Mus musculus: one gene and its partners. The main gene of each other region encodes a partner of the protein of the gene in region 3 in a complex. Links are inferred from orthologs where the notes say so. Each region holds a gene or a part of one and is shown on either strand. Other genes may lie near its edges. The genes, in order: Cript, Txnl4a, Snrnp200, Snrnp40, Lsm8, Cwc15 and Eftud2.

The links.
Region 1: Snrnp200 (region 3) and Cript share a complex: the UniProt entries of both Homo sapiens proteins name them as parts of the minor spliceosome. The link is inferred for Mus musculus from reciprocal best matches to the Homo sapiens genes SNRNP200 and CRIPT.
Region 2: Snrnp200 (region 3) and Txnl4a share a complex: the UniProt entries of both Homo sapiens proteins name them as parts of the U4/U6-U5 tri-snRNP complex. The link is inferred for Mus musculus from reciprocal best matches to the Homo sapiens genes SNRNP200 and TXNL4A.
Region 4: Snrnp200 (region 3) and Snrnp40 share a complex: the UniProt entries of both Homo sapiens proteins name them as parts of the U4/U6-U5 tri-snRNP complex. The link is inferred for Mus musculus from reciprocal best matches to the Homo sapiens genes SNRNP200 and SNRNP40.
Region 5: Snrnp200 (region 3) and Lsm8 share a complex: the UniProt entries of both Homo sapiens proteins name them as parts of the U4/U6-U5 tri-snRNP complex. The link is inferred for Mus musculus from reciprocal best matches to the Homo sapiens genes SNRNP200 and LSM8.
Region 6: Snrnp200 (region 3) and Cwc15 share a complex: the UniProt entries of both Homo sapiens proteins name them as parts of the minor spliceosome. The link is inferred for Mus musculus from reciprocal best matches to the Homo sapiens genes SNRNP200 and CWC15.
Region 7: Snrnp200 (region 3) and Eftud2 share a complex: the UniProt entries of both Homo sapiens proteins name them as parts of the minor spliceosome. The link is inferred for Mus musculus from reciprocal best matches to the Homo sapiens genes SNRNP200 and EFTUD2.

The regions. Positions count from the first base shown.
Region 1 is NC_000083.6:87,023,944-87,028,752, reverse strand, and holds the start of Cript (cysteine-rich PDZ-binding protein), read right to left. Parts: upstream 3,193-4,809; 5' UTR 3,094-3,192; coding exon 3,078-3,093; intron 1,055-3,077; coding exon 989-1,054; intron 1-988. UniProt on the Homo sapiens protein: As a component of the minor spliceosome, involved in the splicing of U12-type introns in pre-mRNAs. Involved in the cytoskeletal anchoring of DLG4 in excitatory synapses.
Region 2 is NC_000084.6:80,205,465-80,210,153, reverse strand, and holds the start of Txnl4a (thioredoxin-like protein 4A), read right to left. Parts: upstream 3,329-4,689; 5' UTR 3,253-3,328; exon of another isoform or gene 3,093-3,252; intron 3,001-3,092; 5' UTR 2,964-3,000; coding exon 2,811-2,963; intron 2,045-2,810; coding exon of another isoform or gene 1,925-2,044; intron 93-1,924; coding exon of another isoform or gene 54-92; exon of another isoform or gene 24-53; intron 1-23. UniProt on the Homo sapiens protein: Plays a role in pre-mRNA splicing as component of the U5 snRNP and U4/U6-U5 tri-snRNP complexes that are involved in spliceosome assembly, and as component of the precatalytic spliceosome (spliceosome B complex).
Region 3 is NC_000068.7:127,228,607-127,232,765, reverse strand, and holds part of Snrnp200 (U5 small nuclear ribonucleoprotein 200 kDa helicase), read right to left. Parts: coding exon 4,141-4,159; intron 3,708-4,140; coding exon 3,601-3,707; intron 3,281-3,600; coding exon 3,162-3,280; intron 2,881-3,161; coding exon 2,726-2,880; intron 2,633-2,725; coding exon 2,443-2,632; intron 2,253-2,442; coding exon 2,079-2,252; intron 1,080-2,078; coding exon 919-1,079; intron 361-918; coding exon 133-360; intron 1-132. UniProt on the Homo sapiens protein: Catalyzes the ATP-dependent unwinding of U4/U6 RNA duplices, an essential step in the assembly of a catalytically active spliceosome. Plays a role in pre-mRNA splicing as a core component of precatalytic, catalytic and postcatalytic spliceosomal complexes.
Region 4 is NC_000070.6:130,366,356-130,370,514, forward strand, and holds part of Snrnp40 (U5 small nuclear ribonucleoprotein 40 kDa protein), read left to right. Parts: intron 1-1,833; coding exon 1,834-1,999; intron 2,000-4,159. UniProt on the Homo sapiens protein: Required for pre-mRNA splicing as component of the activated spliceosome. Component of the U5 small nuclear ribonucleoprotein (snRNP) complex and the U4/U6-U5 tri-snRNP complex, building blocks of the spliceosome.
Region 5 is NC_000072.6:18,851,304-18,854,880, reverse strand, and holds the end of Lsm8 (LSM8 homolog, U6 small nuclear RNA associated), read right to left. Parts: intron 3,246-3,577; coding exon 3,118-3,245; intron 1,281-3,117; coding exon 1,190-1,280; 3' UTR 829-1,189; downstream 1-828. UniProt on the Homo sapiens protein: Plays a role in pre-mRNA splicing as component of the U4/U6-U5 tri-snRNP complex that is involved in spliceosome assembly, and as component of the precatalytic spliceosome (spliceosome B complex).
Region 6 is NC_000075.6:14,506,914-14,511,072, reverse strand, and holds the end of Cwc15 (spliceosome-associated protein CWC15 homolog), read right to left. Parts: intron 3,223-4,159; coding exon 3,104-3,222; intron 874-3,103; coding exon 744-873; 3' UTR 453-743; downstream 1-452. UniProt on the Homo sapiens protein: Involved in pre-mRNA splicing as component of the spliceosome. Component of the PRP19-CDC5L complex that forms an integral part of the spliceosome and is required for activating pre-mRNA splicing.
Region 7 is NC_000077.6:102,877,802-102,882,557, forward strand, and holds the start of Eftud2 (116 kDa U5 small nuclear ribonucleoprotein component), read right to left. Parts: upstream 3,175-4,756; 5' UTR 3,094-3,174; intron 1-3,093. Other genes in the region: Ccdc103 (coiled-coil domain-containing protein 103), read left to right, coding at 4,753-4,756. UniProt on the Homo sapiens protein: Required for pre-mRNA splicing as component of the spliceosome, including pre-catalytic, catalytic and post-catalytic spliceosomal complexes. Component of the U5 snRNP and the U4/U6-U5 tri-snRNP complex, a building block of the spliceosome.

The DNA of each region.
Region 1 (4,809 bases), on a different chromosome or scaffold from region 3:
CTGCTGTGAACAGACACCATGACCAAGGCAAGTCTTACAAAAAAAAAACCAAAAAAACAAAACAAAAAAAAAACAAACATTTAATTGGCGCTGGCTTACAGGTTCAGAGGTTCAGTCCATTATCATCAAGGTGGGAGCATGGCAGTTTCCAGGGAGGTATTGGTGCAGGCAGAGCTTAGAGTCCTACCTCTTCATCCAAAGGCTGCTAGTGGAAGACTGACTTCCAGGCAACTAGGGTGAGGATCTTAAGGCCACATCCACAGTGACACACCTACTCCAACCAGGCCACACCTCCCTGGTACAAGAATATACAAACCATCACAGACCCTTATTGTAATTTTTAAAAATCTTCATATAATAGCCCAGTTTTTAATGAACACTGTATAATTGCTTTATTGTTCAGTCTTAAAGTAGTGCTTTGACAATGCCTACACTCTTTTTGTATGTGTAACATCTGTCTACTTTGGTTTTTTTTTGTTTGTTTGTTTGTTTTGTTTTGTTTTTGTTTTTCGAGACAGGGCTTCTCTGTATAGCCCTGGCTGTCCTGGAACTCACTTTGTAGATAGACCAGGCTGGCCTCGAACTCAGAAATCCGCTTGCCTCTGCCTCTCAAGTACTGGGATTAAAGGCATGCATCACTGCACTGGGCTTTGCTGTATGCGTTTAATAAAAAAAAAAAGTAAGGCAGTCTAAATTTGTTTGAGAATGTAAAACTTAGATGTGGGAAGGAAATGTAAACACAGACTTTACCAATCTGAATCAAATAGACATACATTGAAATAATAATTTTACTACTTCTTGACTATATGAGGAATCCGTACATGTAACTCAGATGATGAAGAAAGATGTGCACTCCCAGGAGAACCGAGCCCTCGGTGTTTACTGGGCAAGGTAATCAGCATCTAACACTGCACTGTGCAAAATGTGACGCACCAGAGCAGGGCCACAGCGCTTGACCCAGCTCCTGTCTCCTAACAGCAAACAGTACCTGTGGTGTTCCGGGCACCATCTTTCCATGTGTCTGGAGTGATAACTCTGCCGAGTTTCTTTTCACCTGTGGTCGCCAAGACAGCAAAAGAGAACAGCTGTCATCTAATAAGCAAACTGTGTGGAAATAAAATAACAAAACCCATTTCTTTGCTAACTTTACAATAATAATTTAAAATGATAAATATATTGTATCGCCTAAAGTACATAACGATATGAAGTCAGATTATAGGAGGAACCTACTAATGCCAGGGTAGAAACCAATGAATGAAAACTTAAGATAGTAACAGTGGGCAACAGATACTGGTTCTAAATAAAACTTACAGGACAAAACGATGCTCTAGTAACAGGCTTTAACTGATTATACTTTAAGCAGTTCTGACAAACTTATTCATTCCTCTCTCTCACATTCTCTAATCACCTAGTCTGTACAAAGCACCATGCAAGGTTCTGATGAAAACAAAGCAATTTAAAATGATAAATATATTGTATTTATATGCTCCAAATGGACAGTTACTTAGTACTGTTTAAGTAGGGCACTGTTCAGGGTGGAGAAGAGCACTGGATGCTCAGTGGTATGGATGTGCCAGCTGAGGCCAAACAGTCCTCAAACACCTAACAGAACAAGGAAAAGAAAGCACACTGAAACCAAACTCCCTGGAACTCAGTAAATGCACAACTGGAGAACACGTACGTGCCAAGTTCTAAGAGGTAACTCTAAAAAATTGGAGAAAAGTAACTTTCTCGAATAATGTGTGATACAAGGGAAGACTGAACTGAGGCGGCTGCTGACATTACAGCTTCTGTATGCAAGTACCTCAGTTTACTTACGGGGTGCATGCAATGAGCAGACAGACTGAGAGGCTACAGATAATAAGACCTTAGATTTCTCAGAAGAGCAGAGGAAATGACCTTTCAGGGCACAGCACAAAGGACGGCTTCACAATCTAAATACATTTAAGCCACATTTAATTAACCATTTATCCCACTTTCGAAAAGAATAAAAAACCGTTTAAGAATGGCACAGCTCTGGAGGGGTGTCTGTGTCCAGAGTTCTACATACTGAGGGGCTATGAACAAAATGGGTCCTGTATATCCGCCAGTAACTGAGATGTGGGTTGAATCTTGTCAGAGAAGGCTGTCTAGCCCATGAAAGAGATCAAGAGAAGAAAGTTGTTTTTAAACGAATCATCAGCTTTTGCAGCTACCAAAAAAAAAAAAATTAAATATTTACAACAAATCTTAAGGGTTTCATTGGAATTACTGAATGGTAACTAAAAGGGTTAAAAAGACCTTTCTAAAAGCCAGGGGTGACTACTTAAAGATTTCTTTGGTGGTGATGAGACTCTCTCCTTCACCTGACCCAAAGCTGTGAGTATTAATGAATTGACGGGATGGCTCAAAATATCCAATTTAACTTAATTTCAGATAGCCACTGAAGTAATTTTTAAAATAAAATCTAGCCGGGCGGTGGTGGTGCACGCCTTTAATCCCAGCACTGGGGAGGCAGAGGCAGGCGGATTTCTGAGTTCGAGGCCAGCCTGGTTTACAGAGTGAGTTCCAGGACAGCCAGGGCTACACAGAGAAACCCTGTCTCGAAAAACCAAAAATAAATAAATAAATAAATAAAATCTGTATTAAATGCGGCATGTTTTGTAGTAAGGAAAAGCAGAAAGTCAAGATTTAAACATTATTCGGGACATATTAATAATACTGGAAATTAACCATTGCTTATAATCTTAAGATGTAACCGAGAGCCTGGAACTTATACTTGTGACATCTGTCAACTCTTGATGCTACCAGAAAGATCGTGAAGATCCGATTTAAGCCTCCGAGAGCCAATCAAGAAGTTGTAACGGAGGAGACCCAGAAGGGGCGCGAGGACGACAACAGAAACAAACACAAGAGGCGCAGAACTGAAGCCATTCTCAACACAGAGCGGAAGGCTATGCTTACGGGACAGGCAAGAAGGGCCGAGGGGCAGGGTAGGAAGACACCGGTTACGCCACAGACCAGCAGGGGAAAACCAGAGAAATCCCGAGAGAACTTCTCAGCCCTCCACCTCCCCCAGAAGCAGCCCCTGAACTTACACTTTTCACACACCATCCTTACATGGGGGTGTCCCTGTGCCCTCAGCCGGCAAAGCAGGAGCAGCAACCCAAACACAACAACGCCCCAGCGGAGACGACTTCCTCTTCCGGCTACGTCAGCCCGCTTCCGGACTCTCAGCCCTCCCGCTCCGGCCTATCCCGTACCTAGAAAGTCGCGGGAGGGATAAACGCGAGCTGATGGGCGGGGCTGCTCTCATTATCCCGCCCCTTCTCGTCAACGATTGGCTGTGCGCTTGTGAGTTCCCCCCGCCCCCTCGCTTTCTGGTCTGCGCCTGCGCCAGGGGCCATGCCAGCCTGTAGCACCTGAGGGTGGGAGGCGGTGGTGTCCCCCTTCCCTTCGGCGGGCGGGAGAGTTAGGTAAGCCGGTGGCGGGTTGCTTCTCACACTCGCCCGGGGCGGGTGCAGGTCGCACCGCCGACCGCTGCGGTGACTTCCAGGGCGCCACGCTTCCGGCGGACCAGAGGATGCCCTGCGCTACCGACCCTCTGAGATGCCGGCGTCTATCACAGTCTCTCAGGGGACTCCGACCTCAGGTCACCGGGTCGGCCGCACGGGCTCTCTCTATGATGGCGACCTCCAGTTGCCCACACTGCGCCGTCCGAGGCTGGGACGGAGCCACCTGGGTGGGGTGGAGCTGCGGTCCGCACCTGAGCAAAGGCTGCTCAGGAGGAGGGCTCGGGAGCAGCCAAGCCTTCCGACCCCGTTCTCACGGGATCGCGAGTCCCGAGGGCGGCTTCCCAGGTGTGGTGTCCTGGGTCGGGGACTCGCTCGCCGGTGTCACCTTTGCGTTTGGGTACCGCTCGCGCTCGCCGTGTTAGATGGGTGTTTGCCGGTGGCCTAGGATGGATTTCTGATCGCGCTTCCTGCCTGACCCCGCAGTGGAAGGGAGAATCTGAGAAACTTTCCCCAAGTCTTTTCACGGCTATGCGTTCTTGTCCCGACCCTGGAGGATTTCTTCTTGTTTAAAGAGGCGATGCTTGAAATGGCTTGTGCGTGTGTAACCTTGGCCGTATCTGCTAACTTGTTCATCCAGTTTTCTTAATCAGTATCATTTGCTTTTGAAAACGATAAGTGTGAATGAAATGAGGGCTAATAGCACCATGCCCAGACTTGCGCTTTTACCTTTCCTGCTAGTTCCTCACCCTGCGGTGTGGATGTTACTTTTTGGGCCCGATTTTTACTACATTGTAACATGTGTTACTTTTAAGTTCTTAATTAACTTTAGTCAGTATAACATAGAAACTGTTCTCTAGGTCAAATATATGTATTTAGAGACTGGAAACTATTGTTTCTCCTCCCACTCGCGTTCTGCTATTACCATTATTTAACATCTGTACAGACAGTGTGAGCCCTTAGTGTAGCATAATGACCATCTTAAGATGGTCCTCCACCATTTGCATATCTAAGTGTATACTTGGCTGTCATTTGGGAACTGCAGTGATTTTCGCCAAAAAAGTAAAATTAGTTGCTGGTGTCTGGCACATGTCCCCTTTGTAGAAACCAGTCACAAATATTTAAATTTTTACAGGAATTTTCTTTTTGAGGCTCTGAAAGATAATGTATACCATATTAGAGAAATCTAAAGTAACAATTAAAATCTGCATATGCTTGTTCTGTGTTTTGAAACAAATATGTTGCCCATAGAAAATTATTAATACATGGTTTATATTTAGAGTATTGAAGTGCTTGGGACAATGGAAAAAAAATCATT
Region 2 (4,689 bases), on a different chromosome or scaffold from region 3:
ACACACATGTAACTTTTACTCACTTTAAAACAGCTGGGATATCCAAACAGGACTCATACAAGATGAGGAAGATCTCCCACTATCTTCCATTTCTGCGGAGGGAGATTTTTAAATAGTTATACTGTTCTTTACATACTAAAATCTTAAATTTCAAAAATTTATGTTGAAAATTCCCTGGAGTTCCCAAACTTACGAATGTGTATTTTGCCATTACACTAAGGAAGTAGAACAACAGTGATTTTAATGTAATTCAAACTTACATTTTTAATAACTATACTAAAACATAGTATTAAAAGTTTATTAAGAGTATGGAAAAAATTGCTCAGTGGTTAAAGAGCTTGCAGGACCCAAGTTCAGACCCCCAGAAACCCATATCAAGAAGATATGATGGCCTACCTTAATTCTAGTCCTAAAAGATGGAAGACAGAGGATCCCTAGAGCAAGCTGGCTAGCAAGACGAGCCTCACTGGCAAGCTCAGTGTTAAGGAAAGACCTTGCCTCAGTGAATACCGAGGTGAAGAGTGACTGAGGAGGACGGGCACAGGACACCTGGCTAGCATGGTGGTACCAGAGTTATTAAGAGGAGCAAAAAGGGAGCTCATTAAGAATGCAATCACATTTTTTGGACAAAAGAAAATGCAAATTAAAAGACTAAAGGAAATATTTTTGAAGGAGACCAATGAACCCAACACCAAATACAGCGCATGTCTGGTGAGTGGGATGGCTGGCCTTGTCTGCACCTGAGCAGCACTGAGACAACAAGATAACAAGTACGGGAAACGCTTAAGTTCTGTTTAGCTGGGGAAGAGCAAAGGGCCTCAGACACAGCCCTCCTGACAGGAAAGCCCTCCTGACACTGGTCAAACCACCTTCAGGTCAGAATAACTAAAGGACAGCTGTCCTCAACTAAAGCAGACTCAGCCGTGGACCTGCTTGTAGTGGTGCTTCAGTGAATCTCTGCATTTGCCTTCTGAGGGACCCAATCACCTCATTCGTACCTCTAGCCTGACTGACAGGACAGCCTGCACGCCTGCAGGAGAGAGACTCCCAGAGGAACAGGGCAGGGCTGGCTGAGAAGCTGCTCCTCAGAAGCTAATCTGCACCGAATCCCCTGGAGGCCTCAGCCCAGACCAACCGTGTTCCAAGCTTCCAGAGAAGCACTCGCAGAGACACCTGTGATAACTGGATGTCAGAACTGCCCTCCACCAGCCTCTCCGCAACACGGAAGCAGAAAGCCAAATGCTGCTGCTTTTCCTTCACACGCACACATCCCCGTGTCTTACTCCAGAGAATGTCTTTGCTATGGTGACTATGGTTCAGTGGCAAGGCACCTGACCCTGGCCTCACTTATAGCTCAAGTAAATAAAGTGACAATCCTGTGGCAGACGTCATTTGAAAGCTAAGAACTACTTTAAGCCAGCAGGCGTTAGCAGCATGGGTGAGAAGGAAAATAGTTCCAGCATTTCTATCAGTGTTAACTCTTCTTTGACTTTCAGGCTAAGCATGGTGGCAAACACCTTTAAAGCTAGCACTGGAAGGTGGAGACAAAGGCAGATAGACTTGTCTGCAGGGTCTAAAGACATATAGATACATGTCTACACAAGTTCCAGGGCTATGTAGGGAGGTCCTGTCTCAAATAAATAAGAAAGTAAATAAAATAATATTGAAATTACTTATCATTAAATATTACAGTCTTTGCCCTATTGTTACAATCATAAAAAAGTTAAGTCATCCTAAAACCGTGAAGAGGAATTCACAGAATGAACCTCCTAATCGTGTAACAGTGCCTGACAATTACACTTCCAGTGTCAGGAAACAAGTACTGCCACCCTGCTTATAAATATGGAAAACTAAGAACACCAGTTCCACCCAAACTCAACTTTCAGCATTTGAATAACTGCAAGCTACAAATCAAGTAACTTACAAAGAGCTTGAGGCTCATCCCAGGACTTGGGAGGAGGCAGGGAGAAGGAAAGAATGTGCAAGGTCCCTCTGGGCGACACAGTGAATCCGGTTTTCTTCTCTCCCAGAGAGGGGGTGGGGGCTAAAAAGTCCATCATGGTATTAACCTAAAAGTTCTGCTTCATAAATACAATAAATCCATAAAATATTGAGAAAAGGCCAATAATGTTAAGCTAAGCCGCCTAAGTAAGCTCCAACAAGCTCAACAAAGCTTGCAAAGTCACTCTGTTGACTACACATAAGGTACATTGTTTTTCTTTCTTGAGACAAGGTTTCTCCGTGTAGCCCTGGCTGTCCTGGAACTCAGAAATCCGCTTGCCTCTGCCTCCCAAGTGGTGGGATTACAGGCATGCGCCACCACTGCCCGGCGATACATTGTTTTTGAGACCCAGTCTTATACAGTCCTGACTGGCCTAGAACGATCAGTGCCTCAGCTTCTAGAGTGCTAGGATTAAATGCATATGCCACCGCACCTGGCCCTAGTAAATTTTTTAAAACATCATCCACAGTGGTGCCCGGTAATCCCAGAACTCTGAGACTGAGGCGGCGAGTTTAAGGTCCGTCTGACTATATATACATATAGATACATACACAAGACCTATCTCGGACCATCCATCCCCTTCCGTAATCACAAAAAAACCCCCAAAATTTATCATCACTTATTTTAGGAGGAAATCATAAATTTCTTCAAATTTTAAGAAACTCTAACCATTTCTAGCACAAACCTTGCCCGTACATGAACCCCGTCTCTCTGTGGGTCTCTGCATGGAACACAGGACTCGGGCTTGAAATCTGGCGTCCAAACCGCCCTGCGGGGCCCAGCACGGCGAACACTGCACATGAGTTACCTTTTCGGCGATGCTGTACAGAACCTCGTCCATCTTCATGCAAGTGGGGTCCCAGTCGTGTCCGAAACGAATGACGACCACGCGGTCCTCCTCCGAAAGGATGGCCTGGTCTACCTGCCAGCCATTGTGCAGATGCGGAAGCATGTACGACATCTTGAGCGCGCCTGCGCGGCCGGACGCCGCGAGCTACCTGTGGGTAGAAAGAGCAGAGGATCGCGACCCCATCCGGACCCCAAGAACCTGGCCTGCACCCCAGACTCTGCCTAGGGCCCCACTGCAAACCTGCAGGCCACCGCACCCCAAACCTCCACTGCTCGCCCCGGGCCCAAAGCCCATACAGGGCCTCGGCTCGCACGGGAACCACACCCTCGAATCGCCACCTCCGCAGGGAACACACCCCGGCAGCCCCTGCCCCATGGGGCCACACCAGACGACCTCTAACCTCGTGTGAGCCCACGCGGCCCAAACACCGCGTCCTCCACCCAGCACCAGCTCCTCCCGCGCCGTCACGCGCTGACGCTTTTCGGCGCTGCTGCGCAGGCGCACGCTGGCGTCATGCGCATGCGCGGGGACGTCGCCGTCGGCCTCTTGGTCCCCACCCCACCCCTGGTCGCCGCCCAGCGAGCTGGGCCTGCGCAGAGCGAGCCGTCGGTGAGCGCGTCGAGCTCGCCTTCTTGGCGACTCGGTGCCTCTGCCGAGGGGGCGGGGATACCCGAGTCTAATCTCGCGCTCAGCCTCTTTAGCAAGTGCTCCAGAGCACGGTCGAGACCCAAGCGTCCCCACCTCGTAACGCGTCTAGTGTTGTGGGGTAATTTGTCTCTATTTTTATTATTTTTGTCTTTTCTTTTCCTTCTTTCTTTTTTTTTTTTCGAGACAGGGTTTCTCTGTGTAGCCCTGGCTGTCCAGGAACTCACTCTGTAGACCAGGCTGGCCTCGAACTCAGAAATCCGCTTGCCTCTGCTTCCCGAGTGCTGGGATTAAAGGCGTGCGCCACCACGCCCGGCTTATTATTTTTTTATTGTGCTGAGAAATATGGCAAGTCTTTGGCCAAACTTCAGCCATGCTCCTGATCTTTTCCATAGGCCTATCTATGCATTCTTCTGTAAAATATCTTTCTGCATCATCAGACACTCTTGGATATAATCAAGTTTTTGGACCTGTACCTTATCCCAGAGGTCAGATCTCCTTGGCTTCAGCCATTATCCTCCTAATTTCTCTTTCACAGATCCATTCCTCTTCACCCATAATGTTCCACAATTGGTAATTGAACATATTTTCCTCCCTACAAGACCACGTTGCAGTGTTCCTGAACCATCTTCTTAAGCTATTACAAGTAGGAATACTTTTCTTTACCATATCTGTGTGTGTGTGTGTGTGTGTGTGTGTGTGTACGCATACGCGCGCACACACACGTGTTTAAGTTTGCCACTTTAACCATTTACTGGCATTAAGTACAAGTCACCACTATCCCTCTCCTGATAAAAATTACAAATTAAAAAGCAACGGTTGAGGAGATGACTCCAAAATAAAAAGCATTTGTGGCTTTTCATGAAAACCCAGGTTCTGGAGCTAGAGAGTTGCCTCAGCAGTTCCAGAGGACCCAGGGTTCAATTCCCAGCTATCACATGATGGCTGGCTGTAATTCCAAGATCTGACACCCTTACTCAGACATGCATGCAGGCAAAACACTAAGCCACACAAAATAAAACAAGACCCAGACTCGATTTCCATCACCCGTATGTCAGTGGGCAAACGTCCATGACTCCAGTTCCAGGGGACTCAGCACACTCTGGCCTTTTCAGGCACAAGGCACAAAACAGTGCACTTACACATATGTGCAGGCAAAACATTCATACTCATACATCTTTTTTTTTTTTAA
Region 3 (4,159 bases):
TATAAACTCAGATCACTCTTTTGAAATAAGGCAATAGGCTGAAATCTTTGTGAAGACCCTAGTCCCTAGTTTCAGGCCCAACACAAACTGGGTGCGGCCCAGTCCTTCTCTGTGCTACAAAGCCAAGCATACCCCATTCTCGCCCCCAATAAGGTGGACCTCATCCACCACAAAGAGGTTAATGTTCTGGACGTTCTTGCGCTGCTTCCACCTCCGAGAGAGGATGTCCCACTTCTCAGGGGTACTGATGATGATGTTGCCTTTGCCCAGGAGCTTCAGATCTGTGCTGGTCTCCCCCGTCAGCAGCACTACCTTCTTGTTGAGCCTGTCCTGAAACTTCTCATACCAGTCCATGTATACCTGACAGGCAGGGGAGGGAGACATAAGAACAGTCGATCACATGTTCACCTCTCACTTGCTAGGAGGAAACAGAGACACAACAGACAGCTGCCACTCTCATACCTTATGCTCTACTTTTTGTTTTGAGATGGGGGGCCCAGGCCAACCTCAAACTTTTTATGGGTTCAAGTAAACCTCTTGCCTCAGCCTACTAAGCATCTGAGATGACAATCATGTACCACCATACTATATTAATGATATTGTTTGAACTACAATAGCCTTTAAATGACAGGAAAGCTTTTCTCTAAGAAACAATAATGTGCTTGGTGGTGGCAGTAGTGTACACCTTTAATCCCAGCACTCAAGAGGCAGAGGCAGGCAGATCTCTCGAATTTGAGGTCAGCCTAGTCTACAGAGTAAGTTCCAGGACAGCCAGAGTTCCATAGAGAAACCCTGACTTGAAAACAAACAAAAAAGAAATGATAATGCAGTTGTCAGAAATGAGAAAACCTCCTCCTGGGGTCACCTATGGAATGGTTTCTGGGAAATTTACAGTCAGTCCCACAGCATATTACATACCTGCTCTGCCAGAGCCTCCATAGGGGTAATGTAGACACAGCGTCCCTCAGAATTCTGCAGCAGCATCCGAAGGATGGCAAACTCCGCGCAGATAGTCTTCCCGCTGCCCGTGGGGGCCCCCACAAACACGTTATCATCACTGTTGTACACGGTATTAAATACTGGAAACCAAAAGGTGTAAAGTAAACATGGGGGGGTGCGGGTAGGGGGAGTAAAACAGATCATTCGTCAAGATTATGAGCCACAAAGTCAATCAGCTATGCAGTATACAGAGAAGCCTGAAACGCTGGTCCAGCTGTCTGTGTCTCACAATACTTTCTCCTACAAAGCAGGAAAGGAAAGACTCCGAGATCAAGCTCAGGTGTCTTAAGAGATTTATAGAAAGAAAGAAGCAAAAAAACCCCAGCATCTTTGTCTCTCAAGGACGGTGCCACAGTACAAACACAACAAGACACCTTTCTCTGCCCCATCAGCAAGTCTCCTGCAGTCTCTACAAATAATCAAACACTGAAGGGGAGCCCTGACAGCAAGCCGAGCTATTTACGAGTTGCTTTAATTAGGGCTCCTGTCTAGGCCACAGCTTCCTCATCATGAAATGTAAATTAACTGTGGCGCTAAGTAGTAACCCTTTTAAAGGATTGATGGAAGAAGAGAGAAAACACTGGTCCTGTGCTCAGCCAAGTACTTGGGCACAGGGCTTGCTCTGTGAACAGTCATCATGTACAATGATGGAGTGAGGTCCCAGTCAAAGTCATACTCTGGATGAACACCAAAGCATCAGGAACACGCATTAGCACCTGGAGCAGGAGTAAGAAAACTCAACATGGAAAGACCTTACTCTTCTCACCCTCCTCAGGCAGGTATGCAGAGCACCAAAGTGCCGGCCGCACTACACACTTATCACTAGGTAACCTTAAAAAGGTAGGCATGAAAAAAACAAAAAAGGTAGGCATGGATGGCAGGTATGGGCGGAGAAGGGGCACAATATTAATCCCATCACTTGGGAGACAGAGGCAGGTGGATCTCTGTTGAGCTGAAGGCCAGCCTGGGCTACAGAATGAGTTCCAGCATAGCCAGCACTAGTACATAGAGAAACCCTGTCTCAGTTAGAAAAGGAAAGGCAAGCATGGGAACCAAAAAGAAAAGACTCTGACATCTACCTTGAGTCTGGATGGGATTGAAGAAAGGAAATTTATCTTGGTAAAGGCTCTCAAAAGCACTGTTTCTCAGAGCAGACACAGGCAATGGCTGCAGGTCCAACAGTTCGGTTGGAGGTGGGTACTTCTCTGGTAGGATCAGATGCCGGAAGGAGACAGGTAGCTGCGTCTCACAAGCTGTCAGGAAAGAAACGGAAGGCTAGGAAGCAACCCTCCAGCAGACCTCCACAGCTCATCTGTGAACAGTGGAGACCTTAGCTTGTGTCTGTATCACTCTTTCAAAAGAGACAATGCTACAACAAAGCAAAAAGCCCTCTCCCATCTTTAGAAGGTATGTTCCTAGGAGACACAGAGAGGAGATACTCACAGAGCCAGCGATCAGACACTACTCGAATGAAGTACTGAGGAGGTAGTGGTTCAAAGACTGGAACAAAGAACGTGATGAGGTGCTCATCCTGGGCATACTTGGCCTTCAGCAGAAAATATTCATGGTGCAGAATCACCTCACTGTCCACATCCTCCACCAGAATCCAAAATGCCTCTGACGAACCATGGACCTGCCAACCCAAGCATGGTTGAAAGAAATCCTGACGAGCCAGTGAGGGAGACTCAGGCACTCCAACTCCACCCATCTGACCATCAAGCCTTGCCTTTTCATCCCACTGGAAATCTGGTGTGATAGTCAGCTCTACTTTCAGCGTAGAGCGTGTAATAGGCTGCAGGTGCACTGACAACTCCAACTTGGGGAAAAGATGGACATACTTGTGGATGGTCTTCCCCATCTTCGGCATTCGAATAAGTTCACCTATGAGGAAGAAGAGTATTGGGGCTGGGCCCAGCCAGCCTAGCAAATCTGCAAACAGGGCCCAAGGCGACTGTGGAAAGGAGCAGATTCTAGCCAGTGCATAGGCTCCCCACTTTAGCCTCAGTGCAATACTAACAGTTCAAAGTCCTGAGTGTAAGAGTGGCCTTACACAATAGTAAGATATAAACATGAGAACTAGTGCCCAGGGTCTAGGAACAGGAAGGAGGAGGCTGACAGAGAAAGGTGACTGGGCTGCAGGACAGGACAAGACCTTCACGCACCTATCTCATTATGATTCAAGTCATACAGCCGCTCAAAGGGGAAGTTTTTCTTCTCAATCTTCTTCACTACTTCCTCAGGAAGTTTTCGGAACTGGCGAAGAGGACACATGGACTGCCACCTATTCAGAAAGGAGACAGAGCTGGGTCACCTCTTTTGTAGCACTGTAAATAAACTGCCTTCCCCACGTTTTTCATCACTGCTTCCAACAGTCTGGAATAACTACACAGACCCTACATTAGAGGAAGATGTCTGAAACTGACAGCAGAAAGACCAGAAAGCCAATCCAGCTGTTGCCCCCCCAGCCCTACCCTCTACAGGGGCTTCCCACTTCCCAGCTTTCACCTAGGTTCATGCCATATCTCAGCCACCAGGACTGAACATCAAATGCACTAAGGCCCAAATTCACAGCAACCAGCCTCTAGCTCACTGAGCCCTTACATGCGCTTGTCAATCATCTTGCAGAGATTCAGGGTCTTATCTGTAAGCTGTGCCCAACCTCGGTTCAGGACAATTTCGAAGATTGCACGCATCAACCGGCCAGCCGACTAGGGAAAGACAAGTATTCCAGTTGTGAAGTCTTATCTACCACAATTTGATGAGCTCGAGATCTGAGGAGATCACTCATACCAATTCAGAAACAAGAGTTTTTCTGCCTCCTACCTTTTTAGGTTAAGACAGAGAAATTAATAAAATATTTTGTCATGTTTTATGACCATGAAGCTATGGTGGGAAGTCACTTTTCCTGGAGAAGGTGACATGCCCTGTGGATCTCTCTCTACAAGGACCTACAGAGCCTCTTAGCACTTTATAAAGCCCGCCCTTCCTGCACGCTCAATATCAGCACAATAGAGTGGTGAATTAAAGTGGCAGCAGGCAGCTGGCCCACCAGCAGTATCTGGCCACCTTGCTTTGAGGAACACAGTACAGAGAACCCAGGAACTATTTAGACTCTGCTCATCACTCAGTGCAACTCCTCACCTGGGTCACATACACCATG
Region 4 (4,159 bases), on a different chromosome or scaffold from region 3:
GCGAGAGCGAGCGAGCAGCCAGTTTGGGGCATTGGTTCTTATTTTCTAAAACATGAGCACGGAGATCAGGCTTGGTAGTGGCTACCTTTACCTCTGAGCCATCTCACCAACCCATGATCTTATCTTTTTAATTTTTATTTTTACCTGTTCATAGCCTCGTGTTCCAAGATTAGATAGACATTATACTAATAGCATATGATGGCATTTTGGAGGTGGGGTGTGTCTGTGCCCCTACATGCGTACCTGTGTGCATTTAAGGACAAAAGGACATCAGGTGTCCTGATTTACTGTTCTGTACATTTCTTTCTCTCTCTCTCTCTCTCTCTCTCTCTCTCTCTCTCTCTCTCTCTCTCTCTCTCTCTCTGTCTCTCTTGCCCTGGCTGTCCTGGAACTCACTCCGTAAACTAGGCTGGCCTCGAACTCAGAAATCTGCCTGCCTCTGCCTCCCAAGTGCTGGGATTAAAGGCACACCTGGCTTTCTTTCTTTTTTTTTTTTTTTTTTTTTCTGGTCATTACTCTCTTGAGACCAGTTCTCTCCCTGAGTCTAGAGCTGAGTTGGTGAGCAGCAAGCCCCAGTGGTTCTCTCCTGTCTCTGCTCTGTCAGAGAGCTAGGGTTGCAGGTATGTATGGCCATACTCAGTGTTTATGTGGAGATTTGAACTCTGGTCCTCATACCGGCTAAGCCATCTCCATCTCCACGGCCCCTGTTTTTTCTCTCTGAATCAAGGTCTTGGTCATTTACTCGGTCTGATCTGGAATTTGCCATCCCTCTGCCTCGACTCCTGAATAACTGGGACTGGAAGTGTATGACACTGCACCTGGCCTGTTTCACATTTCTGATCTCAAACTTCACAATGTTGCATTATTACATTGTGAATTAAGAACACATTATAAGGAGCTGGAGGGATAGTTTAGAGGCTAAGAGCACTTGATGCTCTTGCTGAAGACTCAGGTTCAGTTCCCAGCACCCCAGCACCCACATTCTTGTCAACAACCCTAAGTAACTTCAGTTTCAGAGCATCCAGTGCCCTCTTCAGGCCTATAGACACTGCACACACGTGACAAGCAACATACCCTTTGGCATAAAATAGAAAGAAATTATTTTTTTCTTCAGCATTATAATTGTGCGTACTCCATTCCCAGGTCTTGGGTGGTGATGGGGCAGGAGCGTCTTGAGTTCAAAACCTGCCTGGGCTACATAGCATGGTCCTGTCAGAAAGAGCAGTATGAGATCAACTTTAACATAGAAATCATTCCCAGAGACAGAACAAAGAATTGGAGTTACTCACCTATTAAATCTAATTACCACAGTCAGCCTCATCGTAACCACAGCAGGTGGTACTTAAATACTTCATCTTAGAGGGCAGTGTATCCATATGTATCTCAAAAAGGGAAAAAGGTGAGTTGATAGACCTCTGTATTGTTCCTATGATGTGGATCAGCCTGCTACAGAATCTAGAGGGTGAATCGGGTGGCCAAAGGTAGGATGAGGCACACTGTGGTCATGAGCTAAAGTCACAGTGCAGCAGGCAGTGAGATGAAAGAACCTGACACATTTTGGTTGGGGGAGGGGAGAGAGAGAGAGATGACTTTTGCCCCTTTTTTTCTCTCTCTCTTTTGAGATTTATCTTCTTATGCGTTTAGGTGTTTGCCCTTCATGTATATCTGTATACCACATGCATGCAGTACTTATAGAGGCCGAAAGACAGCATCAGTTACAACCGGTTTGGGGTCGTTTTCTGTGTCCTGGGAAACCAACTCAGGTCCTCTAGAAATGCAGCCAGTGCTCTTGACTACTCTGGTCTCTTGTCTTACTTTGTGTTCTCTTTCTAGCATGCTCTTCTCAGCGTCGACAGACAAAACTGTGGCGGTGTGGGATAGTGAAACTGGGGAGAGAGTGAAAAGGCTAAAGGGGCATACTTCCTTTGTGAACTCCTGTTACCCAGCCAGGCGGGGCCCCCAACTTGTCTGTACTGGCAGTGACGATGGTACAGTTAAGGTGGGTATTGTTTTTCTGTGTCTCGCTGTCTGAGGTGGCATAATGTAATCTCTATCCTGTCTTCCTGCCAGTATTCCAAAGCACACTTAAAATTTCCTAATTAAAATACTACTCTGCAGAATTCTATAGAATATATTGCTACTTGGAATCAATGGGCTGTGTGGATCTGACTCATGGCTCAGTGATGAACTGTGTGACTTTGAGCAGCTCACTCTCCAAGCATTACTGTCTTAGTCTTTTTAGTTTGTTGGGGTTTTAATTGACTGTTTTGGGGTGTTGTTGTTGTTGTTGTTTGGTTTTGTTTGTGGTTTCTTTTGGAGAGAGGATTTCTCTGTCTACTCTGCATAGACAGGCTGTCCTGGAACTCATTCTGTAGACCAGTCTGGCCTCGTGTACCGCCACTGCCTTGCGGACTTCGTTAACCCTTTGAACTTTATTAGTAGTAATATAAGTGCTTACAAGGTTCTTGTGAAATTACAGATATCTAAAAGAGGTCAGCAAATGATCTCAGTCACCTACTTATGCAGATCATTTTGTTGGATGATTGCCAAACTGTGTGTGTTAGAATCACCTGAAGAACCTATTAAAAATAACCAGAGTAGCGCATGCCTTTAATCCCAGCACTTGGGAGGCAGAGGCAGGCGGATTTCTGAGTTCGAGGCCAGCCTGGTCTACAAAGTGAGTTGCAGGACAGCCACGGCTACACAGAGAAACCCTGTCTCGAAAAACAAAAAAAAAAAAAAAATACCCAGAGTAGAACTGGTGTGCTGGCCAACCTCAGCTACATAGTGAGACAGTCTCAAAAGACAGTTAATAACACTAACACGCCCAGAGTGGTGGGCAAAGTCAGAGTGGTCATTCTGAGCTGTCCAGCCAGACTCTGTCTCAAGAAAAAGAACTCAATAAATGAATCACAAGTAAGCAAAAATTAATCAGAACCTGGTTCAGTGAGTCTAGAATGGCCATGAAAGTATTTAAAATGTTACCCCACTGAAATTTTAGAACCCACTGATCCTATCCAGCATGCTCATTTTACAAATGAAAAAAATGGGGCCTAGAAATAGGAAGGGGGGGAAAACAACAATCGAGATCTCTCCAGGCATGATGCTTCATAATACCACCTGAATCATGCGTTTCTCTGTGCCACTCTCATGCCTGTGTCCCCTGATACCATGTCCACACCATGCACACATGCGTGCGCGCGCGCACACACACACACACCTGCTACTATTCCCCCTTCTCTGGCTGCCACGTCCTGGCCCCTTACTTTTTATTTTATTTCTTAGATACACCTATTTTATGTGTGTGGATGCTTTGTCTGCATGTTTCTATGTGGACAACATGCATGCCTCGTCCTCCATAAGAACAGTAAGTACGGGGCTTGAGAGCTGGCTTGCCAGTCAGGAGCACTTGCTGTTCTTGCACAGGGCCCAGGTTTGATTCCCACATGGTGGCTCACAGCCCTCTGTGACTCCAGTTCTAAGAGATCAGGTGCCTTCTGACCTCCGCTGGCGCTTGAGACAGAATTTCAATAAGTTGTCCAGTTCAGCCCTGAACACCTTCTGTAGCCCAGGCTAGCCTTGAACTGCAGCATTTTAAGTAGTTGAGACCATAGACCTGTCTTAGTTAAAAGTTATTATTGCTGGGATGAAATACCATGACCAAAAGTTTGCCCTTTGTCCTCATGTTTAAGTGTATAAGTTACTGTGTATGTCTGTGTGTGCCAAGTCCATGCTGTAGATCCACAGCAATCGGAAGGCATTGCACTCCCTGCAACTGGGATTACAAGTGGTTATGAACCGCCATGTGGGTGCAGGGACTCAAACCCAGGTCCTCCTCAGTAGCAAAAAGTGTTCTTAACTGCTGAGCCATCTCCTCAGCCCCAAAGTAATATTTTGTAACACGAGTAACATCTCATATCACTTAAAGATTCTGCTTTTGCATAGTTTTTTATTTTGAATTTATTTGAAGACATCAAACTTCTTCTTGTTGTGGGAATGGGTTCTTGGGATAAGGTCTTGAGATGTTAAGGAAGTCAGATCAGTGTGGCTGGGAGGAGGACCCTCCTAAGGACAACCAAAGTGAGGAAGGCAAAGAGTTGAAGGGAAAGTGGGAAATTGGCTACATGCACAGAGCCAGATCAAATATGTAAAAATATTT
Region 5 (3,577 bases), on a different chromosome or scaffold from region 3:
TATCTGTGGCTGTTTATGTTTTAACACGAGAGGCAACCAACTGTTATGGAGAGCGCATCACCTTTAAAACCTAAAATTTTTACTAATTGCATCTTCATAGAAAACTGTATACTTCCACTTAAAAACTGAAAAATCCTAGAAAGACAAATTTTATTTGAATTAAAAGGATGTCTACATCTCTCTGACACTAAGATACCCATCCATTTTGGTCCACACGTTAAACTGATGAGTTCCTTGAATGCTTAAAATGTTTAAATAGACCTTACAGCACTGTTTCTATGAATATTTTTAAAAAGTTTATCAAAGTAGCCTCACGGAGCCGGGAGGTGATGGTGCATGCCTTTAATCCTAGCACTTGGGAGGCAGAGGCAGGCGGATTTCTGAGTTCAAGGCCAGCCTGGTGTACAAAGTGAGTTCCAGGACAGCTAGGGCTACACAGAAAAACCCTGTCTTGAGAAAACAAACAAAACAAAAAAACAAAAAACAAAACAACAAAAGTTGCCTCATGGACTAAGTAATGAGAGACAGCAGAGAGCACTGCTCTTGATTTAACTAATTTCCCACATTAAACAAAAGCTCTTTGAATAGAGATATTCCTCACTCTAGTTTAAAAAAATTCAGTAGTACAATGGCATTTAACATTCACAAAATCTTCTTTCAGAAACCAAATCTTGTGACCTTAACAGGCATCTAAAAATTTAGACACAATTTTTCCAACTACTGGAGAACTGTACCACATTGGGATAAACTCTATGACAGTTACCTGTAGACGGCCATTTACTATCTGGTATTTCTAAAAAAAAAAAAAGGAAAGAAAAGAAAACCACAAAAAGAAATGTGTCTTTTATTACTATTATTTGCATTAGTATAAGTTACAATAATAGTCTAAGTTCTCTTTACAGCCAATTTCCCATAAATATTAAATTACCAAAAGTAATGGTATTTTCTAAGTTTTCAAATGATCCTTAGATTTTTGTATCATTTGGTAGAAAAATAAACCAGCCAACCACATTTATTAATTTAGGCAATGTTTCCCAATAAAAAATGTAGAAATATTTAAATTACATATTACAGTGTACCAACATGAAGTCAAACTGCACAATTACACACTCATAAAAACCCTAAACATCACTCTCAGGACAGACGCTTCTGTACAGGATTTACACACATCTCACTACACACTGAGGTCTCAGTGTGCTACGGAGTTCAGAGGCTCTGCTCGGATGTTCCCCAAGTCGAGTGCAGAATCCGTCTCTTCATCTATTTCCCCAATGACTGCTCTGTTATTAATATGAGAAAAAAGAGTCAAAACATTTCTAAAATAAATTGACATACATTTCTAAAGTCTCATTAACTACAGCATCTTGTTTCATGCTTCTTAAACATGTGGAACTGAGAAGGTGCAGCAAAAATACAAGGTAGGAAACAAAAGCCATTTCATCTCATCACTAAGTGAACTGAATTACCCATGTCATGGGACTCAAGAAGTAATGTGAAGGTAGGACAGGAACATATGTAAAGAGATACTGTGAAGAGTCTGAACATCAGCTCTTTGGAAAACTGACATCTGATCTGCAGCATTTATATGAGGCAAACAAAAGTCTCCATGGGGTAGTGGGGCTAATTGCAAGCTACTAACAAGACCCTAATCCATTTATTAGCAAAAATTCTTAAAACTGTTTTCATGGGTTCCTGAAAGCAGGCTCTAGTCCCAGCAGGTTTAGGGTAAATGTTTAATTCTGAATTATTTTTTGTACATAGACCCAGGAGGCACCGTAATCATCAGTCCACACACCCCCAGTGTTTCATCAGTACTGCTGTGGTCAGAGGACCTGGCCCTCTGCTCTGGATCACTCTTTATAACTCACGTTATAATCTAAGCCAAAAGTCATCTCCAGAGACTATTTTATAGATTGTAAACACAATTTTAATTAAGGATCAGTTGATCATATTTACCAAAATACAGTTTTCAGATAAAGTTAAGTGCCTAGAGCATGTGTTCATTTTAAAATAAGTGTACAGTATTAATAAATTAATCTTAAGCATATCCACAAAGTAAGTTCAGTGTCTCTTCCCTACATCTTACGGAGCCCTTCAAACCACCTAGTTACTAACGTCTTTTGCTGTCCTCTAGTCATATTTTGACTATTCATAGTATTTAAACTTAAATGTTAGCCACAGGAGGTAGATTACATGTATAATGCTAACACCTGGGAAGCTAAAGGAAAATGAAGTAAATCTGGGTTGGTAACAAGTTCCAGGTCAGCCTGGTTATCCTCAGAAACCAAAACCAAACAAACAAACTACATAACCCCAAAATCAATTTTTAAATTAGTTCTTTGGTCACCAGCCGCTTTTCAAACACACCACAGCTATACAAAGCAAGTAGCTGTAACAGTGGAAAATGCTGAGGCGTGAGGCTTCCCATCATTAGAAAAAGTGACTGTGAAGAGCACTGCTCGAAATGGTTACAGCCTTTCTCAAACTACACTGTCAGGGTCCTAATTCAACAAAACAATAGGTGCATCGTGGCACACATTAAGTACATCCACTACACTAAAAATAGTAACAGTTAAATGAGCGTGGACCATTTAAAATAATTCAAATGGGAGATTTTTTAAAAGATATTTTCCAAATCGTTAAGAAGCCTCTTTAAGAAATGTGATGAAAAAGCAGGGCCCTTTGTGGACATATCTGGGCACACACAATGATGGTTTAGGCTACTAGGAGGCTGCGGTTGTAGGGGAACCTAAAGTTGAAAGTCAGTCTGAGCAACTTAGGAAGGTCTGGTCTCAAGATGTAAAAAGAGAGACCGCAGCTCAGTAGTAGACTGCCTGTTCCCATGTACAAGATTCTAGGTTCAAACCCCGATTCTCAAATAAGTAAAGACACAGGAAATCTCAGTAGGCAACTGTTTGTGAGATCACTTTAGTTGACCCCTGAGGCATCTAAACATACAGCATTTAGAATTATATATAAGATAAGCTCTACCTACAAAACAAGTTAAGTGCACAATTCTATGATACATATGGCATCATGTATGTTGGAGAAACTCTCTCTTCCATAAAGCAAACATACCAGTAGCACAAATGTACTCAAAATGACTTATGTACTTACACATTGTCGCCCCTCACAATGTATAACCCCAACACCACTTGTTCTACTCCCTGTGAAGAGCTGAACACCCGCTCATGGCTTTCATCCAAAATCAAGTTAATGGTCTGGTCAAAACCTTTTAGTGTTCCCTGAAAAGAAAAAAAAAAAGAAAAAGAAAACAAAAAATAATGTGGTCCTGAATATATAAATCAAACCATTTCAGTTGTCAGCCAAGTACTTATGTCTTCCTTTCTGTCCAAAAGAAGATAAACTATCTTCTGTAGTCCAGAAGTATTCCACGACACAGAGCTTATCCTCCTACTTGTTTTATGATGGGGAAAACCTGTACCATCAATCTCACTGTTGTAGAGTTGTTGGGAGTTGCAAGGGACAGGCAGGCACCAGTATTCTTAAAGTAAGTGACCTCACACGGTCTAGGAACTAGCACTTAAGAATGAACCAAAACAGGACAGATTTAAGG
Region 6 (4,159 bases), on a different chromosome or scaffold from region 3:
GCTCAGCGGGTAAGAGCACTGACTGCTCTTCCGAAGGTTTTGAGTTCAAATCCCAGCAACCATATGGTGGCTCACTACGACCCGTAATGAAATCTCATTCCCTCTTCTGGTGTGTCTGAAGGCAGCAACAGTGTACTTATCTACAATAATAAATAAATCTTTGGGCCAGAGTGAGCAGAGGTCCTAAATTCAATTCCCAACAACCATATGGTGTCTCACTACCACCCGTAATGAAATCTCATGCCCTCTTCTGGTGTGTCTGAAGGCAGCAACAGTGTACTTATCTACAATAATAAATAAATCTTTGGGCCAGAGTGAGCAGAGGTCCTAAATTCAATTCCCAACAACCACATGAAGGCTCACAACCATTTGTATAGCTACAGTGTACCCATATACATAAAATAAATAAATAAAATCTTTAAAAAAAACCCACAGCACACAAAAGTAGTTTTCATTTTGAAAAGAAATTATGCAACTTTTTATAAGCTGTATAAATTGTAGCAAAAAGTTGGGGACAGTGGTTTATTTAGGTTAAAAATATTTATTACAAGCAGATTCCCCGTTTCCCATATTAAAAAGAAACTAAGGCCTGGTTAGATCCATTTCTAAACCCATTATCTAATAAAGTACTACACTAAGGGAAAGAGACTGAGAAAGTTAACACTGGGAAAGAACAGAAACCAAAAAAAAAAGTCAAATTGATCCTTAACAGTTTAGTTTTTAATTAAGCACATAAAACTATATTACTTAATATATTTCTCCATGAACTTCTTGTGAAATTCAGATCGCAGTGTATCATTTACAAATCGTTTGTCTTTCTTCTGGTCATCTATACCTTTTGCACAGTTCTTAAAAACGACATCATCATCCCATCTAAAGAGGAAAAACAAACAACAAATCTGTTATAGTTCATCAGGAGACAAGAACACAACAGACTATAAACCATCACAGATGCTCAACATGCTGTCACCAGACAGCAAAAGCAGCAGCATGCCTACTGTGTGGGGCTGTCACAGCAGGAGGGCATCCCCACTCAGAGCAGACACCACTTCTCCACTAGGAGCAAGTCAGTTACAAAGAAGACACACATAGATTGTGCTTAGGTAAAAGTGTGGTATTTTCAGATTTAAAACACAGAGGCAGGGCCACTTGTCCTGATCCAGACACCTTCAGACAGTAAGTGACCTGTTTACTGTGCTTTGTACAGTTTCATACATTCTCATCAGTTATATCTACCATGGCACACTTCATAATGCAAGGACGAACTACAGGAATGTAACAAGAAAGATTTATAGACCCATGGCTGCTGAAGTGTTCAGAGTAGAGCTCAGTTATATTTCAGAAAACATTAAACACACTCATCAGCAGGTGTTACGGGAAATACGTAGACCAGAGCTATGACCTTCTACATAAACATAAGCCCTTACATATAATAAAGACACTCAAAAACATGCATTAAACACAGCCCATGTAACATGCTTGCATGTGCTGGTGCATGACCACCAGGAGAAACTGCACAAGGGAAATGAGCAAAGCTATGCACACTTATGGAAACTATGTCAGTAAATTTGTCTTGATGCAGTACACACACTAAAAGCTGACCTGCTCAGTGTGACAGGGATACAAATGTTTTGTCTCATATGCAACATGTAATTGATAGCTTCTCTTCACTTCCTCGCTTGCTCCCAACACCCAAACTGCCCTGCCCCTCTGCAATGCTAAGATACAGTCCTCCCTTTCTGCACTTACATCACCATCCCTAGACCATCATCTCTCTCCTCTCCCAATACTCTGTGACTCTCTTGGCTGTCCTCTTCTCTGGCTGCTAAGTCTTAGCATAAGATTTTAAATTCAAATACTATGTATTATGCATTTACTATGCACTTATACTGGGCACTTCTCTAGTGCTGATACAATCTTTTGACTTCTCTCTGCCCACGCTGGCAACTCCCAGATGCATTATTTAATTTCTAGCTTAGACAAACTGCAGAGACACACAGGCTAGATTTACTTAAGAGATGTACAGAACACTCCAAACCTACAATGCCTCAAACCTGCTTCCTCTTTCACATTCAGCATAAGCCATACTCATCCTCATTCCTGCCTCGCAACTGCTCAGGTCAAATGAATAGAGACTGAGCTATGATAAATTGCTAGTTGTCAGCAACCATCTCCTTGACTGTACTATTGTCTTCAAGAATGTGGGTTAAAGTTTAGCTGCATAGGTCACTACAAGGGCTGTACTTTTCCTGTGATTGAGTAAAGAAGCCAATGGTTCTGGGATGAGAAAAGAGGCTGAAGACGGAGCTTTGTTCATGAAGGGTAGGTACTGAGTGAGTGAGCAGGAGAGTGGCAGGGCAGTGCTTCTTCATTGCCGTGTATGCAGAGATGAGGCAGTGGAGCTCCTCACACCCTCACACACACTACCCCTGCTCCTGTGAGGCATCCTCATCCGACATCGGTGTCCCTCTTCAGCTCTTTATTGTCCCCCTCTGCACACTGTACATGAGAGTTCCCTCTTGGGCCCCGACTCTAAGCGTAGCTTTGGTTAGTTAGCACTGGAAACCCGCACCTTCTCTCACCATCACTGTGCCTATAGTGCACAGGTTCCTACAGGACCACTCCCTTGAGACTCCTGAGTCTCAACTTTAGTTTCACTGTTTGGTGACCTCTTACAAGGAACAGGATTTTAAGGAAGCCTATATCTCTCCACCTTGTGACTTGGATGTATATCCATGAAGACTTACAACTGTATGATCTGTGTGTATCTTATAATATCAAACATGAATACCACCATACCAAGTCCCCTAAGTCCTTCTAGAATTGAATTGTGAGGGGTGGTCTTGGGGACCCCAACACTAACATCTCACGTAAAGCTTGGTAGCTACAGTCACTCTGGCTCTCTTATTTAGACAATCACTAAGCAGAGACTTGGCTATTATAAGTATGCATTAAAATGAAGTCTCCCACCTCTTTTCATCTTCCGTATTCTAAAATCTGATTGGGAAGGTTATCAACAGAAAGTGGGATCCTAGAAACTTTATAGAACACACGGAACACTAACCATGGTCACACACGTACACCAACCCATGACTTTTCGTACCTTCTTTTAACCTTGAAGTTGGCCTGAGGCTGGGACGGGCCAGTGAGGTTTAGGAGAGGGTTTCCACTCAGAATGTTTTCCATGCGAATTCTCTCTTCCTCTGCTTTTTGTTCTTGTTCCTGTCAATGACAGAGGAAGACACAAAGTTACTCTCTCCAGGTCAGCTGACCAATATTAGCCCACAATGAACTCATCTGGTACAGGGAGAAAAGATACTTTTCCTTTTTTTCTGTTTAATGACAGGGTCTCCAGCAACCCAAGCTGGCACGGGACTCGCTAGGTAGCAGAGGATGACCTTGACCTTCTGAGTGCATGGTAGGTGTGCAGGCCCCCATTTGCAGTGATAGGGATGGGGTGGTGCAAGGCCTGCTACAAAGCACTTTACCACTGACCCACTCCTCTTTTTGATTCTTAGTAAATGCCAGGAAAATCTTACTAATAAAACTTAAGCACGTTGCCATTTTTATCCCATCCTTGCCAATAGTCATTGGCCTCTCTAAACTGTGAGAAGCTGAGATGCTAGCAAGGTTGTTGTCTCACTTTTTAAGGGGCTACAGACAACATAATTCAATTTTGAGTTACAAACCATGTTAAGTTTCCATCTCTAGGATGAATTAGTTATTAACTAGGGAGTAATTCCTAAGACAAGACAAACTGTCATGTAAAAGATGGTCACATTCTAATAATATGTACTTCAATTAATTTATATAAAATATCGTTTGTTCTTATGCTTTATTGTTAGCGATCTATACCTTTCTTATATACTTTCTTCACTGTTACAATACTGTCTATATTTTTAAAAAGTATTTCTGTATATATTTAGCGTGTGTGCATGCATGCATATGGGTACCACAGTACAACGGAGGTCAGGGGACAACCTGCAGAAATCCATTCTCTCATCATGTAGGTTCCCTGCTAGGCCATCTTGCCCATTCTCCATTTGTTTTAAAGACACAAATTTTCAATGCTAGTTTGGTTTGGCCTTCAACTTGTGATTTTCCTGCCTTAGCCAATGAGTGTCAGGATCAGAGGTGTGAGTCACCATTTCTAGATCAC
Region 7 (4,756 bases), on a different chromosome or scaffold from region 3:
CAGGTGGTGACTGGGCTGAGTGACTGACCAGGCTACTGAATAGTGTCCCCAGAACGCAGACCTTTCTCTACTTCTCTGCCCTGGTTCATTCTATCTTCTTATAGCCCACACTCTTTTATTAGGGACATTCTTTGTTGCCTCAAACTCTATGTAGTTCATGCTGGTCTTAAATTTCTGATCCTCCTGCCTTAGCCTCCAAAGTGGTGGGGTTACAAACATAGGCCCAGGCCTAGCTTTATTTAAACATTTTATTTATCTATTTTTATTTTCTCTGTATGGGTGTTTTGCCTGCATGTATATCTGGGTACCATACACATAGGCACACATTGCCCATACAAGCCAGATCCCCAGGAACTGGAATTGCAGACAGATGTAAGCTAACATGTGGATGATGAGAGTTGAACCTGGGTCCTTTGAAAGAGCAGTCAGTGGTCGTAACCACTGAGACATCTTTCCAGTCCCATCTGGCTTTATTTTTACATTTAAAATAGGTTCTCACTGTTATCCCAACCTGGCCTTCAACTCAAGATCCTCTGCCTCTGCCCCCCCCCCCCACATAACAGGTGTACAAGTAATGCCTAGTCCACCTATTCCCTTTCTGTATTTATTTAATCAATTAAACTGTGTGTGTGTGTGTGTGTGTGTGTGTGTGTAATTTTATGCATTGGATCATTTAGGAACATGAGGATTGTCATGTGAGTTCTAGGTAGGATCTAACTCCAAGTCTTCATGGTTGCCTAGCAGGTACTCTGAAATGCTAAACTCTCTTTCCAGCATCTCACTTAAAAAAAAAAAAATAGTATTCTCAAAATATCACAATGCAATCATCAAAATAAAAATGAATACCAGCAGGTTATACTACCTAATCCACAGGCTCCACCAAGTTTGAGAAACTGTTCCAGTCACAAACGACACTGCTAAGGACACAAACTAGGATCGTACTTGACTTTCACGTGACACTTTTCCAGATTACAAACCAAGGCTTTTGAAGAATCTCCCTTCGTGTGGCTTTGCCTCTGCTCTGAGAGGTACACGATTCCAACTTGTCCTCACTGATGATTCTAACTTTGACCCTTAATTATGGTGACAGCGGACATGCTTGTCCCTTAGTGATGGGTAAGAACTCATTGTTCTCACTGCTCTTTTAAAGGACCCAGGTTCGAATCTCATCAACCACACGCTACCTTACAATTGTCTGCAACATCAGCAGATTTCCCCCCACTTCAACGACTGAATATTCTGTTCAAAAGAACAGTTTAGATCTCACCCTACCAGCCTTCCCAGCCCCTCAGCCTCTCACTCTCGTCAGTATCTTCTGTCCCAAATGCTAGGCAACTGTTGTTATTCTAAAAAACAATTCTACGGTTTGCGAGCAACACAAACCAGAGCAGGGGAAAAAGCATCAGGCCCCTGGGGTTAAAGACCTCGATCCATCCTATCTTGGCCTCATTTCTAAGGATGACGTAACTCACAGAAGTTAGTTTACCTCCTTAGAGTGATTTATTATTGCCTAAAACCTTATAAAGGCAATGAGTAAGTACCTAGCTGTGCAGCCTGATAACCTGAGTTCAGTCCTGGAAACCCACTGAAAAGCTACATAGGGTAGTGTGAGTGTCTGTGATCCTAGACGGCCAACAGGAAATGGGAGGCAGAGATTCTCTGAAGCTCAGAGCCAGCTAGCCTGGTATTGGCAGTAAGGAGGAGATAGGACCAAACCCTGAAGCTGTCCTCTGACCTCCACCTGCAAGCCACAGCACATCTGATCCTCACTTACTACACAGAAACACACACACACACACAGAAACACACACAGTGTGATTATCCAAGCATAGGATCTTATACCCATGATCCTACATACATCCTGAGAGACCCTGTCTCAAAAAGCAACAAGTAACAAATGTTGGTCATAACAAAACTTGACCTTCTTGAGCACGTGAATCCCCATGCTCCTTTGTGTTCACGCACCAATGCCCCTGACAGCACCTTGCACAAAAAGACACTCAGTAAAGCTAAGGGAGTGGAATGTTTTGTTCTGAAATTCTGGTATTTCTTACAGTATACCTACTGTTTTTATTTCTAAGAGGCAACCACAATTATGTTCATTGTCTTCTCCCAAGATTACCATCACAAATTTTTAAAGAAGGTTGTTTACTGAACAAGCCAAACTCATCTCTGCCCCCAGGATAATTGTCATTCCCATTGTCCTCTGGCTATGTATACCTTCTTAATTCATTTAACTCACCCTTTTCCTTTAATGTCACCTATTTGTCACTCCACATATACTTGCCAGGCCACCCTTACACTAATCTCTTAGTGTGTGGCTGGGTGCTTAAGATCGAATCCTGGGCCTCACACTCTACTAAACACTTCTCCACCGAGTTACACCCCTCGCCTAAGTAAAGTCAAGGTTATGCCTGAGTAGTACTTAGGGAACATGTGTGTGTGCCCGCTACTGATAAATGTTAATAATAAAATAGGAGCAAAACGACAACAGTGCCTGGGACAAAATAGGCCCTCAATACGTTTTGCTAGTTTTGTTTTTCGAGGGTGGCTTTGGGTAGGGGAGTGAATTAGTGATATGCTTAGTTTAAGTAAAGCTACTCTAAATAACCAAAACTGCATCTTCCCACTGCAACGCAGAATCTCAAAGGAATGCTGGAATCTTTTCTGGTTTTGGCTTTTTGAACCAGACCCGCTACTTAGCCTTGAACCTGCACCAATATTTCTGTCTGCATCTCCAGAGCGCAAAAATTAGGCACTCGCCATCACAGTCAGCTCGGATGCAGAATAGTTTGAAGATGGAGACAGTCTGGCGGTGAAGCAGGCACCGATGGAAGGGGGAGTGGCAGGGGCCTGGGTCTTTACAGCGCCACCTCTACTAAGGGACAGGATCTTAACCACGTTGGGGACCGCGGAAACCCCGGAATCGACGGTGTGTGCGTGCGTTGGGGTCTTTCATTCTCTTTCCCACGCCAGAATTCAATTTACGCGTTCGTTAAGCGAAAGGGATAAGTACTATATAAATCGCCTCTTCCCAAGCTCATGTTTCGCTCGTTCCCCAAGCCCCGAAAGGACCCTTCCCGGCCAGCTCACCCGCCGAATGCTCAGCCGAGTGCCCCGGTCCGCCGCCTGAGCCCGCGCTTCCGCCGCACGCCGCGACAACGCCGGCGCCCGGCGCTAGGAAGGACCCCGAGCGCGTCGCCGGACCGCCTCGCCTCGGAGGACAGCTCTGCCTAAGGAACAGCTTCGAGAAATTCTGGCCCCGGAGACAGAAATGGGAAAGGCCAACTTGTTGGTCCTCAAAACGAAGCGTGGACTTCTCCACAAAAAAAGCAAGGCCGGAGGATTCTGATCAGGCGCCTTAGGACAGCCTGAAAGGAGGGCCTTCGGGCCGGTCACGTGGGCAGACTGGTGGCGCCGTTGCTAGGCAACAATCTCTGTTGCGAGGGCGATGCACTAAGGTGTTCTACCAGATCCGGGGTTTCTCGAGAGAAAGCAGGGAGTCCAAGACTGGGTGAGGGTTTAGGGACAGTAAAGGGGATTGCTCTAGTCATTCTATAATTGGAGAAGGCTTAGAACTCGACAGAGAAATGGGTCGGGTAGCGAGAGTCTATCGTCTCTATTGCTTAGAGGCTGAGCCTAGATCATGATGAGCTCAGAAGTTTTGGAGAGAGCAAACTAGGCACAGCGAGATCTCCTCACCCCCCAAAATATTGCTTAGGGTATGAGACTCTTGAGTACAATTGTTGGCTGAGTAACACAGCCCACTTCTCGGCGTTCCATTTCCCATCATGGTTGGGATGGCTGTGGATTTGCTTGCGGACCAGCTCATTTCCTGCCCTAGGGCTGATCATGAGTGAACTATGGCTCCAGCTCACCAGGATTCTGAGGTGGAAAGAGGTATCATAAGTAAATGTCAGAAGCCAGACCGGAACACATAGCTTCCTATGAAAACAGCCCCATCAGACACATACCGGGAGGCGGCAGGACTTCAGTGGTAGGACTGGAGATAATGCCCACACAGCACACATTTGCCTGCCGCTCTGTGCTGCTCAGGGATTTGGGGATGGAGGCTACTGAGTTTTCTCCTTCTGACACTTCTCAACTTCCTGCTTTGTCATTGCTTTTGGTTGAGGTGATTTTTTTTTCTTCATTAAAGACATTTAGTGAAGTGTGAAATTTTGTCCTTGAGCTGGAGTAGATAATAAAAGAAACCTCTCTGTCTCTCTCTGTATCTGTGTCTGTCCTCCCCTCTCCCCCCCTCCCCCGCTCTGTTCCTTTATGGTAATAAACTGATATAGAGAAATCCTATGTGAAAGAATGAAGAGTCAGAAATCTGAACTCCAAATTGCCTCCTCAGATGAAACACCTGAATTAATAGGTGTGTGTGTGTGTTGTGGTTTTGTGTTTTGCTGGGGATCAAACCCAAGGCATTTGCATTCACAAGGCAAAATCCTACCGCTGATCCAGCCCTTAGTGTCTAAAATATTGTTAGAAGCAGAGAGCAAAGTCAAGACTTCAAACGGGAAACCTTTCTGTTTTGTTCTCAGTGAGAAGCCTGGAATACATTTTCATCACGCAATTCCATTTTACCTGTAAAGGAAGAAACTAGATTTTTATAACACTCCAGGTTAAGTATCAGATTGCTTTGGGTCATTTCACATTCTGGCAATGAATCCCAGGGCATCATCTTTACCCTGAAGACTTAAGCTCTGCTGACATGCATTCTTCTTGCCTTCCCAGGCCTTAGCCATGG